Linked DNA regions of Pelodiscus sinensis. The protein of the gene in region 1 interacts with the protein of each later gene in a biochemical or structural test. Links are inferred from orthologs where the notes say so. Each region holds a gene or a part of one and is shown in the gene's direction. Other genes may lie near its edges.

Region 1 (8,017 bases):
GCTTTGCCTGCTAAAGGACTAATTAGCATACCATCTCAAGGTTTGCACTCAGCACCACTCATCCATTGGCTGCACTCAGCACCAAGCAGAATTGCACACGGCACCATTCCCATTTTCCCGTCAAACAAACTTTATAAGTCTGCTGCTTTGGGGGCTCTTGTTCTTTGTTGATCATCACTATCCCTCGTGGTCAGTGGTGTGGTGGGAAGATTTGGGTCTCTGTGGTGTTCCTCAGTGCTAGCTCTAGCGAAGGCTGGGTGAAGCATTTGAGTTACACCAACTAGAGCCTGTTGAATCTCACCTTCCCCACGGAGAACCATCTTAGGCATCTTCTACCTCATCAACCGAGTTTGTGGTGAATACCCAGATGAGAAAGAGTAGAGGAGAAGCCTTCAGGACGGGCTCAGCTGCTTGTTGCGAAAGCTCAAGGCTGGAACTGAGAACTGTTTTCTTGGCAACTATTAACTTGTTGACTTAATCAGCGTGGGATTACCTAGAGTTCCTCCCCAAAAGCTACTAGTTAGCTCTAGGGTTGTAGATCCTAGGCATCACTTACCTCACCATCAACTGCAAAGTATTTCTTTATTGTACTGGGATTATTCTTTATTCTTGTATTTATTTGGGGTGTGGATGGATGTGTTCAATATCAAGCGTTTGGGGCTGTGTTTCTAAATTTACAGTATACTTACCTTTGATTTAAACATATCTGGTCTCTGGTTATTCATTCAATTACCAGTGATAGAGATATGGAGTGCCAGACGGGTCTCACTTCTGGGGCAAAGGCATGTAACACCATTCAGAACCTCAATCTCCTAAATTGTTCAAGTTACTATGTCTCTCAAGTAACAGAGTGTGGGTGTTTTCCTCGACAAAAGTGCCATTGGATTGTAAATGCTTTCAATGTTTTGTCAACAAAAGATACGTTTTGGTGACAAAACATGCCAGGGTAGACCAGGTCTAAGACATCCACACTACAATGCTGGCTCTGCAAGAAAACGAAGAAAAAAGTCAAGATATATTGCTTTTGCATTGGTCTTTTTTTTTTCCTGTTAAAAACAAAAATAAACTTGGGGAAAGACAGGAATTTTTTAAAAAATGAAATCCAGAAGACTACCAGACTATGAAATAGATTATAAAATAGGATAACAATTTGGACCTAAACAACTGTATATACTCATTCATTAGTTTGTTAGTTTATAAGTCGACCCACCCTAAGATGAATAGTTAAAAAGAACAAACCAATGGGGTATGACCTTTTCATAAGCCAATTCTATATTTCAGAGGTTGGCAAACTTCGGTTGCCGATTTGTCAGGGTAAGCTACTGGCTCATTGGGACATTTTGTTTACCTGGAGCATCTGCAGGCATGGAGCCCTATAGCTCTCGGTGTCTGATTCACTGTTCCTGGCCAATAGGAGCAGCGAGAAGTGGCAGCCAGCAGGTACCTTGGCCTGTGCTGTTTCCAGCAGTTCCCAATGGCCAAGAATAGTGAATCACAGGCACTGGGAGCTGAGGGACTCCATCCCTGTGGACACTTCAGGTACACAAAATGTCACGGCATACCAGTGGCTTCCCCTGATGGGCTGGGTACTGAAGTTTTCCAACCTTTGATCTACAATGACAACGTAGACCTGTTGATAAGCCGACACCTACTCTTTGAGCCACTTTTTTACCAAAAAAATTCAGCTTATCAACGGGTATATATGATATCTGACAGTTCTTCAATTAAAAATAAAACTAGGAGAAATCATTCAACCAATAACCATGTAAATAGTGGAATTTCTATAGGGCAAAAGTTCTCACTTGGCAATGTTAGACTCAAATTTCAAACCCCTAGTTCCCACTTTCCAAACCCATGTGTTTTAATGTACCTTTTATCGAAGCCCAATCCACAAACTGAAATATGCAAAAGCCCCGTCAGATTTGTTGACTTATTATGGAATGTTCTTCTTCGGGTGATGTCCCTGTGGGTGCTCCTCTGTTGGTGACAGGTCATCCCCGGAACCGCAGTTCAGAGTTTTTCTTAACAGCTATTAGCTGGACCGCACATTCACTGAAGGCAGCTCGTGCTGTTGGCGGTTTGCCACCATTCATATGCAATCCTGCTCCCCCTTTCAGTTCCTCGCTAACCACCCTCAATCACAGACAGAGGGGAAAAAAGAAAGAAAAGCACTGCTTAAAGCCCTGAGAACCGGGCATCGTAGAAGTGCCATCAGTGTAATGACCCCATACCGGCTTTGGACAGGCATGATGCCTGTATACGCTGTTTGGGGGAGTCGCATACCCTCAAAAAATGTGATCACTGCCAGAGCCTTACGACAAGGGCTACAAAAGACCAGGAGCTTTGGCGCCATATGATTCTTTTCAAGTGGGCTCTGCAGGCCTCAGAAGGGTCTCAGCCCTCTTTGACTCCAGGGGATCTGTGGAAACACAGATCTGTGTCTCCCACACCTCACAAATATCTCAAGGCGAGGGTCTCCCTGGTGAGGTCGTTGTCCCTGACCACTCCCCCCCATCAAGCCAGTGGAGACTCGCCAGGCACCACAGACAACTTGGTGCCAAGAATTCTAACAAGAGTTGCTAGAATGGCACCCCATGCTCACTCCAAGCTGGATCGTTCATCGTTGGCACCAGAGAGATCATGATGGCGAACCCCGGCACTGCCGCAAGTGGCACCACAACACCCAGCACTGAGAAAGAGTGGGGAACCATCTGTCACAGCCCCACAAGTCTTCAGCACTGCCTTCTGATGTGCTAATATCAGTGCAAATGCCTCCCCCGCCAGACTCGGCAGCTGTGCCGGTGCTGCATAATCACACTGGCCAACTTGAGGGCATTCACACAGCTGATGTTGAGAATGCTCAGCCTTTGCTATGCTCTCCCTATCGAGTTCCAGGCTACATTATGTCTCCGTTGTTACACAAAAATGCTGGAGTAGCTGACACATAATCAGAGGAACACCTTCTCCTCACAACACTCCTCTCCTACTACATCTTGTCATTTTCACCATTACCGAGAGGGACCTTACCACCCACAGTGGTACCCTGACTGACATTTTTCACCTCCCAATTGTCTGCCCCATTATCCACCCCAGTGGGCCCCATGGGACTATTGGAGACCTTGCAGATGCCACTCTACAGGCCCATCTGTGTCACCAAAGAGGCTTCCACCAGCCTCCCTATCCCATACCCTTCTGAATACCGCTGAATCCGAAGACAACAAGGAGGATCAATTCTCAATGAGCACATTGTTACACGAGCCCCGTAGCTTTCCTCGAGGAACAGTTCATCCTTATCTCCTGATGAGGCAGTAATACCTGAAGATACCCATTCTACTGACGACCTGAAACAATCTCAGGAACTTTTTAAGAGGGACCACTACTCAGGAAGTTCAGCTCCAGGAGGTAAAGGAGAAACAGCACCGTCTCCTAAAGAACACCTATCCCTCCTCTCAGGGAAGGATTGCATTAACAATTGATGAAGCAATAATGGAGGAATCAGACACATCTTTGGTGGTGGATGCAGTGAATCAACATTCACAAGCTCCTCAACTTAGGTCAGCAACCAGTGACAAAGAATATAAATAACTAGCTCTATCTGGCAAAAAATATATATTTCTCTGCCACCCTGCAGCTCAGAATTGCAAACTACTCTGCATTGCTAGCCAGCCATGACTTGGATGATTACTCCAAGCTTGCTGAGCTCATGGAGCACCTCCAAAAGATCCATCCTCAGGACAATAATTTGTGAGAGGCACACCATCGCCTGCACAGCACTACTATCAGCAATAGATAGTAGCTCACCAGCAGTGGTGAGGAGAGCCTCCTGGTTGCATGTAGGAGGTGTGCTCAGGGAGCTTCAAAGAAAGGTGGAGGATCTCCCTTTTGATAAACAAAAGCTGTTTGCTGCTAATACAGACAAGATCCTGCATAGCAATAAAAACTCTCGCACCCTCAGCATGTACACGCCACCATACCAGCAAAAGACTTATCTGCCATACGACAGGAACAAAGACACTTACTAGAACTGACCACAGCATAGACCACATGACTAATAAATCCAGACAGCAGCCTCAGAGGAAGCGTCAACCTCCCTCTCTGATCTTTCAATATATTTTTTATTTCTTATTAATAAATAGCCTATTATGGGAAAGGAAACTAATTTGGACTCTGACCCTTATGTCCTGGACATAAGTTGAATCATGATCAAAGCAAAAATGTTTCCATCCTATTACCTGCCATAGCCACCTCCTCCATTTAGCCTTTCAGATTCATAAGATATTGGAGTAGGGACTGCCATTTGCTATATGTTTGTGCAGCACCTAGCACAATGGGGTCCTAGCCTGGTTAGCCTCTAGTCTAGAGCTATTACTGCAATAGTAATATTCAGGAGTGCTAACAGTGCTGCTCTGCACAGTCATACCACTCTAGTTTCCCTGTCTCATGAAGGGCAGTCATGACATGTTAGCAACATATTTAGCTTGCATTCCTTCTAAACTTCCCTAGAGTCCTGGGTGCTCTAGTGGAGCTAAAATAGTTCATTATCCGCCAGGGGAGAGAGGGAACGGAAGAAAATGCCAGAATCCCTTACTCTTCCCCGACCCCATGCAGTCTCCTCTCCTAGGTAGCAAAGAATGAGCGGAAACAGGTGGTTGTGGGGCTCTCTAGAGCAGGGCACGCCACGCCCCCTCCCGTTAGCTGGAGGGAGGGCTGCCTTGTTAAAATGAAACCAGCCCCTAGTAATCTTCCCCCTCCTGAAATCCCTTCTCATTTATTCCCTGCTGCTGGTGGAAATACCTCTGCGAGTCTTGTTTGGGTCTTTGCTTCAGTCTCCCCTCTTAAACTCTCACCCAGTGTTTTGATTTCTTGATCAAAAGCTGAACAATACTTAACATTTTTCTTAAAAATCCTCCCTTCTCTCCCCCATCCCCTTTACTGATATTTATGCAAATTCCCTAATACAGTACCAGGAAGTAAACTGAAAACTCTCAGCCAACCCACTGAAACCAAGCGAAGTTCCTCTTCTGCTCTCTGGGGTGGCAGAGGATCGGCTTAGCTGCTCTGGACTCTCTCTCCCAGCTGTAAAATCCCGTGGTCTTCAAAAAACCAAGCGAGTAGCTTTTCCTCTTCCCGAGGCTCATCAGCTGGTTTGAGTTTGAACGGCAGCCTGGCTCCTGCCCCAGCTCTGTGGCTGAAGTAACTGTGGAGTTGACTTGCTGCTTCCAAAGTTTCGCATTCAGGGAAGTAAGTAAGCGTCTTTTGTCTCCTAATTTGGCAGTGGGTAGCTTGTTTGGGCGCCGGTGGCCAAGTGTAATTTCTGCGATCCTTTCCGAGCAGCGGGAAATGCAGGGAACAGCCCTGCTGGCAGGGAGCGGACTAAGGGGGCTTCCTAGCGTTTGTCAGAGGGAACCACTGAGAGTTTCTCTCTGGGGATCAGGGGTAAGGCATCTATTTTGCAGCAGTCCTAGTTGCTATGGAAACTGTCTCCCCTCCCCCTGGATTTACCTTGCACTGCAGATCAGAGGGAACTTTCATAATAGACACTTGTTTGTCTGTTGGATCAAACAACTTATCACAGGAGCTTGGGTTTGTGCTTTGTTTATTGGCTCTCCTAACACACTGTTAGCAACACTGGGACTTGGGGGCCAGGACTTGCCCCATAGATGCTGGAACTAGAGGTGCTTCCGCTCCCAGTGGTTTGAAGTGGTTTCCATTATGTACGGGGTTTACGGTTTGGTTCCAATCTGCCAGCTCCGCTATACAGATTGTTCCAGCACCTCTGACCTGCCCTATTGGCATACCAATCAGAATAGGGAAAACTCTACCTACGTATTGGTATAATCTTCCTCTAGCCTCCTATCTCCCCTAAAATAAGGAGAAGCAAAGTCTTCAGGGAGGAGAAAAGGGGGGCTGATTGAGGATATTATAGTAGTATCCCTGAATTAGCTAAAGGGCGATTGATGTGGCAGGTCATGAAACCTGATCTTTCCCATTCACTGAAGTGAACTAGAAATATTAAATGAGCCATGTCTAAAGGGTACAGCCAGTTCAAAAGAGGAAGTGTGACATTAATGGGCAGCTTGTGTTTCTGCCCCTTAAGGGAATGGTTGTTTGAACCTCAGATAAAATACATACAGCACATTAGTTAAAAGGAAGTGAGAGTTCTTTTCGGACTGGTTAGCTTTTCCTCTAGCCTGGGGGAAGGGGTGTAGCTGCAGCTTAAGCTTTCCTGTATGGATGGTTAGTTTCAGCTTTTAAGAAAATACAGCAATTTATTTAAGAAGACTTAAAAAGGGATTGCATTTTGATGTTTTACTATGCTCTTCAGGGATATATTGTCTTCAGCCAGTCTTGACTATTCCTAATTAAAAACAAACAACAAAAGAGTTGGTATGCTAGAAAGAAGGTAGTATTACACAATGCATTTTTCTTAGTCACTTTCACAAGTTCAGACAATAGGCTTGGTTTAATTAAGAGGAAAAAATATGACCTTAGGGTATTCTGTATTAAACTTTGGATTTTAAACCTACAAGCATATAGTAAAGTAATTCTGGAGCATCTTCAATTTAAAACTGCTCCCTCTCAGCTAGATATTGAAGTGTGCTTCTGTGCTGGAAAAAAAAGTTGTTGTGGTGTTCATTTCTAAATAAAAAGATACTTTGTAAGCTGCCAGATCTACAAATTCAGCCTAGAATCTGAAAGCCAAGCTGGTTCTTTCTCTGTCAACATCATCAACTAAATTTTAACTCTGCAGTTAGAACGTAGTTGACACCCCCTGTTCTTTCTCATTCAGGAATGAAGCTCATTTCAGAGGTCAAAACTAGTTTTAGTCACTGAAATAAAGAGCTATGACTGAGAAGACACAGAGAACAAACAAGTTGAATTAGAAATTGCCGTTTTTACTTTCGTTTTTCACAATGGAAGAGCACTTTAGATGTTTTTCAGCCAAAAAAAACCCCTAAACACTCTTCTCTCACACTCACTGCAAATCTCCCATTCCCATCCTACTCACCCAATCATCTTGAAATATTACAAATTGAGGGGGAAACTCTTTACCCTCATACAGTATGATTCCTGGGTGAGTTGGCTGTAAATGGTTGTATTGTAATATCTGACAGCAGATAAACTTTGGAACAGTGTAGTAACATTTACCAAGTGATAATATAAAAACCTGCAATTTGGAACTGTCTTAACAAAATAATTAAATTATATTGGGGAGCCCAGTTTTAACACAGAATTAACTGAATTGCTTTCATGTGAATCTTTCCTGTTCTAGTATTGGATGCAGAGCAGATGTGATGGTTTATGTTATTAAGTGGGGACTTCACATCTTCATAATAAGTAGTGACAACATTTCACCTGTGGATTGGAAAACAGTTTTCTCACTAAAAGTAGAAAGGATGAAATGAACTGAGAATACTGCCTATTAGGAGTGTATGGAAACACAGGAGACAATTAAAATTCATGGATTATTCAGCCAATAGGTCAAGAAAATGAGAAACCTATTTCAAAATTAATATTATAAAGCTGGCACTGGATAAAAATTACATAAAAGTTGAAATGTTTCTTGATTTGAGGATGTTTTTCATCAGTAAATGTTGAGATATATCTTGCTTATTACATCATTACAATATTTTGCCAATTACTGTAAATTGCTGGATGTAAAGGGGTTCCGCTTTTCCATGTACCCCTCTGGGTAAGCAAGACTCCTTGTTACAAAGACACAAACAATGGCAGAAAGGTCTTTTTTAATATTTTGATCAGTAAAATCATTCAGTGGCTGTTTTTGTAGACAATACTTTTGACTGCAATGATTAACTATCTGCTAATACTAGGCATTTTTTACTCTATTAGCATTACAGTTTTCAGATGCGTTTCACCTGGTCCAAACTAGTGGATGGATTTTCGACAAATTTTTAAATCTTTGCTTCCTGATTCTGTCTCTAGAAATGGCACACCTTGTTCGGTGACCCTCTTGCAAGTTAAACTGCAATATGCCCTTTTTATAAGGGAGACCTCT
Region 2 (7,701 bases), on another chromosome or scaffold:
AAAGAGTAAATTGGAAGAGTACAGTGGGCAATTGCTAAGCCTTGAGAACAGTCAAGTAGGGGTAGAAATCAGGCATTGCCGTGCTGAATTCGTACACTCGGTTAAATGTGGAGAGCACTTTTATATGGGGAGTTTTAAGAAGCTGAGTTCATTATTGAATAAATGAATTGTGGCTCAAAGAATTGCCAAATATTTGTAAATGAAATGAGTACACAACGTGTAAACTAAACTCTTCAATAAAAGCTGTTCATAATTAAGTCTTAACTTGTATTTGAGCATTGAGCCAAAATACTGTGACAGAAGCTTTAAATGAAAACTCCTAATACGCAGTAACTCCCATTCTATCCAGACATCAGAAATGTGCATTTACAGCACTGTGAAGGCTGATACCCCACTCTGGCATGATGAATGCAGAAGTGGGGGCCCACAAAAGCAACCCCAAAACCTTATCTCTACAAGCTTTGGTACAACACTTCCCCGCAAAATCTTAACTTAGATTTTGGGGATAAAAATATGCTGCTACCATCAGGTGCTTTTAAACCCACGACCGGGGGTGGATGCTTGAAACCAACTCCAGGGCACCCCACGCTCTTTTCCCCAAAGAGCTTGGAAAAAAAAAAAGAGAGAAAATACAAATTGCAGTCTGTGGTTGCTGTCCCCTAACCAGAGGCATGCAGATCTCAGACAGATTTTTCAGAACACAGAAATGAACCAATACCAGGTTAATAAAAAAGAAAACTTTTATTACCAAAACAATACTATTGTTGCAAGCATAATGACTAGATGGAAAAAGTTACCAATTAATATACTCATGGGGGACCCCCATGGGCTCAGGACTTAGTTACAAAAGAGAGGAAAACCCATTCTAACAGCACAGACATCAGATCCAAATTTCCAAAACAGAAAACAATAAAACCTAATGGATTTATCTAAACTTTACCCTATTTATACATTATGAAGAGTCTTTTTCTTGGAGAGAGACATGTGTTCTGCCTCCCTCAGTATCCAGAGAGCAAACTGCCCAGAGACAAAGGAGGGAAAACCCCAAAATTCCTTTGTCTCAGTTTGAAGTCCTTACCTGCATTTCTATTGGCTGAATGCTACCTGGCTAGGTACAATTAACCCCTTGGTCTCCAGGCTGCTACCCATCCCTCATGGTTATAACAAACACTCTATGCTCTGCAGAGAAAAATGTGCATTATTAAATCTTGTTCAGTTTATATAAATTAGAGGATATTAAACTTAATAAAAAATGTTCTGAAACAGTGTTTTTGATTGCTGGAAACACCAAGACATTTTTTTAACATCAAACTCGAACTCCGATCTGGACAGCTCCCCGTGGAACCCGGAAAACACCCTGTACTTTTGCCTCCTGGCTGGGAAAAAATCAGAAAATGCCAGACATTTTAGGTGTCTGGTATTTTCTGAATTTTTGTACTGGACTGTCTGGCTCAATACCAGACACCTGGCAACCCTATGACTGCCCCAAGTACTGGGTCCTTGAACACTCCCTTCTTATCTTCTGAAAATGTATTCTGCAAATCTCAACTCTGGTCTAATGTCTCAGGCAAGATCTGCAGTTGCAGAATTATATGATCAGGTAGAAGTTAGTTGCTCTGGAGATAGAACTTTTCTATTGAACATTTTGATTGGTTTACTTTCCATGAATATGCATCCTGTTCATATCTCATAGATCTTAAGATGTATGGATGGAATGCAGAGTAATAGTCCTTTCGAGGAGGAATGAAACTTCATATATACTTTCATGGTTTTAGAAATTAGTGTCTGTGGTTGCAGTTACATTTTATTGTCCTTTCATATGTATCCTTTCTTTTCTTATAGTGGATCCAAATGACTTGTATATTGTAGAACCTCTGAAGTTTTCACCAGAAAAAAAGGTATAGTAGCTTCCTTTCCGGTTTCTGCCAGCAGATGGTGCTTTTTCTCAGTCACTTATCTACAACTAGCCTTGGAAGAATTAAGTATATCCACAAATGTCAGTGAACATTGGCTTCACACCCCCACCCCACCCCCACGTGATGATAAATATTTTTATCAGTCATCAGAGGGGTAGCCATGTTAGTCAACTTCAGCAAAAACAAGGAGGAGTTCTGGAATGCCTTAAAGACTAACAAATTTATTTAAGCATAAGATTTCAGGGGCTGGAACCCACTTTGTCAGGACTCAGTGTTGTATTTACATTTTATATCAATGATGATCAAAATTTACACAGTAAGAAAAATGATCCCTGAGAACTTTAGTTTGATGTAAAGATATTTACCTTATGTATTTTGCCATGTGATGTTGATAATTTGCTTTAACCAGGTAAAGCTTTAACTTTCTGAATTTCAGCATCTACTATATTAAATAATTTTGACCCCTTGGATAATTTCCTGCAAACTGCGACAATTTGACTAAAAATAAAAATGCTTAAAATAAACATCAGTATTATCTATCAGTTATTAGAGTTCTGACAAGCCTATGTATGATCTACTATTATTCATATGCGATATGATTTTGTTTGCATTGCACAATCTAATAGTTTCTTTTTCCTTCTTTAGAAGAAACGCTGCAAATATAAAAGTGAAAAGATAGAGACGATTAAACCAGCGTCAGAGCCTCTACATCCATTAGCCAATGGGGAAATAAAAGGAAGGAAACCCTTTACGAACCAGAGAGATTTCTCTAACATTGGCGAGGTATATCATTCCTCATATAAGGGTCCTCCATCTGAAGGAAGCTCAGAAACTTCATCTCAATCCGAGGAATCCTATTTTTGTGGCATTTCAGCATGCACGACTCTGTGCAACGGACAAACCCAAAAGACAAAAACTGAGAAGAGGGCTATAAAACGAAGGCGATCTAAGGTTCCAGACCAAGGGAAGTTCATAAAAACTCTAATACAGACTAAGACTGGGTCAATGCCAAGTCTGCATGACATAATCAAAGGAAACAAAGAGATAACTGTAGGAACACTTGGTGTCACAGCTGTTTCTGGACACATCTAAAACTAGTTGGATTTCTCATGCAGGAGAGTGTTTGTTCATCTGAGAACAGTCTGTTGTACATCTTGCAGGAGAGTGATGGGAGAAGAGATCAGCTAACTGGAAAGTATTCAGAAATTATGATTTCTGTTTTTTTTAAAATAGATGGGATTGTGTCAATCTTGGTTGAGTTTCAGCTTTACAAGGCTGATGACTTCCTCTGTGGACAAATGGGGGGTGGGAGGGATCATTTTATAAAGCTTTTTTCACAATTAGTGGGGCAAAGATAGTTGAAACCCAGTTTGTTGGGTGGAATAGGGATAAAAGCCTAATCCTCTTCCTTTAGCTTTGTTCCTATTTCTTGCACCTTCCCGTATTTATGTGCCTTTTGTCTATTTATAATGCCACTGGAAGAGGAAGAGAGAAAATTGTCCTTTGATTTCTTTTGTAACTTCTCTTGCTTTTTGGAGGAGGCGACACTACAGTGCTGTAAAGGGGCATGTTGGCAGTCAGCTGGACTCAGTAGTGTGGGCTGGAGACCGTAGTAATACTAACATGGCAGACTTGTCGATTGATCTCCATTTTGAAAACTCACTTGGAAAAGATCTTGTTAGAAGCAATTGTAATGCCATTAATTACATTTTAATCAACTTCAGAATTGTTTTATTTAGGTGTGTAAAATGAATTACAGCTATGCAGTTACACTCGCTGTACGTGAAGGAGCTCATGCTGACAAACATGCCTTTGATCCCCAGACTGACCTTTGGAATTCTGTTACAATACTTAACCAAAAAGGATTGATGCTTTATTTTAGTCACTCTGTTTTCTGATCCAAGAATTTGGACATTAGGGACTACATTCAAGGAGAAATGTAAGGGTGACTAGGTACAACTGAAAATATAAGTATCCTAACCAGGGTTGGGTACAAATGCACCTGACCAATGCAAGTGAGTTTGCCAAGCCTTGAAGTCTAACAGCTCAAGTCTGTATAAAAGTGGATATTTCCATAAAGTTTGCTTTTGTATTGGCTAAGATGTGCAGGGTGTGTGTGTGTGTGTGTTTTGGTACTTTCATATGAGTTTATTTTGACCATGGTTGTATATTTGGATAAAATCGAATGTGTGACTGCATACAATGGTGTGACTGAAGCAGAGTGAATGGGACAGAAGGTTACTCCTTTTTGAGAGGTGTTATAAGTTCATGTTGTAAAACTAAGTTAACTTATTGAGCACTTTTAGTGGTACCCTTTTTTAAACAGATCAAATGCCTTTTCTGGGTATTGTATGTAATGTGACTTATTTAAAGCTTTTGTTTTTGCTGCTTTCATGTTAGTTTATGGATACTTTATGGTGATGTACTTTTAGAGACGGTCTGCACAATTAGCCAGTCAGAGCACATGGACCTGATTTATAGAATGTCTAATCAGAAAGGGCTCCAAACAAGAATGAAGAAAAAATGCTTATACTATCTGAGTGCAGCAAACAATATTGTGGAACAAGATTATGTAACTACAGAGCTGTAGTGCCATTAGAAACTGTGAATTTCCGAATAAATCTGAACACTTGTCTTATGCATTTAGTAGCTTTTCTTTTATAAATCCCCTGTTAATGGGTTGAAGCTCAAATTTGTGAAGTTGTGTGGTTTAGTTTATAGGACACTGGACTGACTGAGGCACTAGGAAACCTGGAATTTACTCCTGCATCTTAGAAAAGTCCCTTTGCCTCTCTGCTTTGATTTATCCTCTCACCATGTGTGACGGCAGGGGGCCACTTCAGTCCAGCCAGGCTGGAGTGGCCTTCCTTCCCCTTCCCCTTCTCCCCCATTTAAGCAGTTAACTGGTTAAACGTAACATTTCACTGGTTAACAAATTAAACAGGATTTTACATTCCTAATTTAGAGTGTAGACTCTTAGAGCAAGGACTGTTTCTTACTATTTGTTTGAAGAGTAACCTGCGTCAGGGAGTCCTGATCTCAGGGCCTTTAGAGGTTGCTGTAATTATAAATGAGCTAGTTTACCACTTGTAGCAGCTATAAATGTGGATTTATTGTTTGTTTCATTGGCAAGAATCTTAATTTGTGCAACTTTTTCTTGTTTCTATATCTTTAATTGTAACTTACCAAGAACTTCATTTGCAGAAAAAGTAGGTGGGCTGTCACATTTCCTCAGGCAAGAAGTTGTTTGGCCTGTGGTTTGTTTTTTAGTCTCAATCTTGACCTCTTGCTAATTATTGCCGTCTCCTATAGCCTTCAATAACCTCACAAAAAAGAAACTAAGCGATTGGAGCCTTGAACATTTAATATCTTTCCATATGGCTGTAGGTGATGGTTACCTGTTCACATCCCTAATATCACTGCTAGCTCTTGGTGCCTGCTAGGCCTTGAGTGTCTCCCTGTGCAGGTGGGTCCTAGCCAAGACTATGTGAGGGTTGTAGTTTCCAGAAACTTTTTACCGTTTTTTTTTTTTTTTTTTCTAATCCTTCACAGTTGTGGCTATCTCCTCTCTGGAGATATCTGCATGACATTACTCTTGCAACAGTAACTTTAACCAAGGCAAGATTTATTAAAAACAGGGAAAGGGGCGCTATACATTTTGGGCAGGAATAAGAAAGGGGGTGGAGAAGGAGAGACAAGCCTCTCTTCTCAGATGTGCTTAAAAGGTTTTGGATGTACTAAAACCGTTCACATCTGGAGGTTTCTCTCCTTAGCAGCAAGACTCTCCAGACATTGGAAAGCATGACAGTTCTCTCTGGAGGAATACTTAGGAGTCACTGCGTGAGCATGAGGCTTGGATGACGACTCAGCAGATCTACATTCTCTTCCTGGGGTAAGTCATTTCACCACTCGTTGCCTCAGTTTCCCCATCTGTTACCCCCTTTGCCAAGCGTTTGAGAAGGACTAGTCAACATGCAGTATTAAGAGCTAGGGTTGTGTGACATGCATATTCATAAGCCAATTTTCATAAAGCATAACTCAAAGATGCTTTAAGCAAAATGTATCCTATAAATTATCATTTTTTTTTAAAGTTACAATCTGCCAAATGTGTGTGTTTCTGTGCATCTAAGTCTTTTAGTGAAAGCAGTTAGTGGTACTGTAGGAAACTTAGTCGTCCGGTGGTCAAGGCAATGATCTGTACATGGGCTTGTTTTTCCTGTAAGCCCAAACTGTGGCTGGCTGTAGAAAAACATATCACCTGGTGCTAGAATCTATTTTGAATCTGGTATTTTTCCATGAAGATAAGGGGGGGGAACAAAAGATTCCCACGCTGGGGGAAAGTATTTAAGGAATGGAAAGCAATTGGTCTTTTGTCTTCAGTTGGCCTTTGAAATGGCCTCTCCACCCTCAGAAGATACAAATGCAGTAACCTGGAAACAAAGAACTCTTAAGGACAGAAGGGGGACATCTAGACTGCAAACCTCTTTCAAAAAAGAGCATCTAGACTACAACCAGTACTTTCAAAAAAGCAAGCTGCTTTTTCGAAAGAGCACCCAGGTAGTCTGGATGCTCTTTCAAAAAACGACAGTTTGCATTACATAGCGCCTTTTTTCAAAAAAAGGTGTTCTTCCTCGTTAAAACTAGATTTTCTGCGGTCGAAAAAATTGCCCCATTTTGATTTACTTTCCAAAGAGCACAGCAGCAGCCTAGATGCAGGGGAAGTTTTTTCGAAAAAGGCTGCTTTTTCCAAAAAAACCCTGTAGTCTAGACACACCCAAGGAGCTGTAGACCCAGGCCAAAGAAAAATCAATGGTCTTGAAGCATTTTACCTGAAATAAGGACAAGGGTGAGGAATATACTTTGAAACAATTTGTCTTAGTGTAGTAGGCTTAATTGGCATGTTTTGTTTGTTTTGGTTTAGTAACTTAGATCTGTTTTCATATGCAATCACTTAAATCCTGCTTTTTATACTTAAGAAAAGTTTTTGTCAGACCCAGTGAAATAATTGTTACCTGGGAGGAATAACAGGTGTGCATCTCTCTCATTGATAGACAGCAAATCTAATGAGCTTTCTCTGTGTAAAACATTTAGAGTAAGATGGATTTATTTGAGGTTTTAGTCCCTTTTGGGGGTTGTGTTCCTGCGTGCTGTCAACAGCCTTATAGCCGGCCCTTCCCAGAGCCAAGCTGGTTCAGTGTCTGTTGCTTTGCTGGGGTGCTGTTACCCCAACTCGGTGGCTTGGCCGGAGAACCAGAGCTTCTGGCCCAACAGGACAGGGTGGCGGCGTGCCTCAGAGAGCAGGTAGGCAGGTTCCATACAGCGGGTGACAGCCTCAAGGGGACCTTTGTGATCGAACCGGTCACAGGTTGATTACCAGTGTCTTACCCACAAACCGGTGTGATAACTCCTAGCAGCCTGAATGGCCATATAGTCCTACAGAAAAGATTTTTGTTTGAAAAAACCCCAAATAAACTGGGCAATGCAGTAACACAGCATGTTGTTAACGCAGAGTTAAGTTTGCCTGGCTGTGTCCAGTACCCCTCTGGAACACTAATGTCTAAAACTCAGAAATTAAGAGCTAAAGGTCCTTCCTTGTGCAACCTTAATTCTGCCACCTTTGAGCAATGCCCCAGCAAACCCGTTACACAGAAATAACTCCATCCTTGCTAAATTTGATAATCCCTTTGCTCTGGCACAATTCATCCCTCTCATTTCCTACCTTGCCACTGACCAGAAGACCCCTGTGTACCAATTGTAACAGAACCTACCGGATTTAACAGAGACC

Evidence for each region.
Region 2: the proteins of LYN (region 1) and FASLG form a complex in vitro, tested with the Homo sapiens proteins (2 studies listed by BioGRID, with this or other methods). The link is inferred for Pelodiscus sinensis from reciprocal best matches to the Homo sapiens genes LYN and FASLG.

What each region holds. Positions count from the first base shown.
Region 1 is NC_134712.1:64,564,164-64,572,180, reverse strand, and holds the start of LYN (tyrosine-protein kinase Lyn), read left to right. Parts: upstream 1-5,011; 5' UTR 5,012-5,245; intron 5,246-8,017. UniProt on the Homo sapiens protein: Non-receptor tyrosine-protein kinase that transmits signals from cell surface receptors and plays an important role in the regulation of innate and adaptive immune responses, hematopoiesis, responses to growth factors and cytokines, integrin signaling, but also responses to DNA damage and genotoxic agents.
Region 2 is NC_134719.1:64,391,528-64,399,228, forward strand, and holds the start of FASLG (tumor necrosis factor ligand superfamily member 6), read left to right. Parts: upstream 1-4,690; 5' UTR 4,691-7,701. Other genes in the region: SUCO (SUN domain-containing ossification factor), read left to right, coding at 1,843-1,898, 2,562-3,008. UniProt on the Homo sapiens protein: Cytokine that binds to TNFRSF6/FAS, a receptor that transduces the apoptotic signal into cells. Involved in cytotoxic T-cell-mediated apoptosis, natural killer cell-mediated apoptosis and in T-cell development.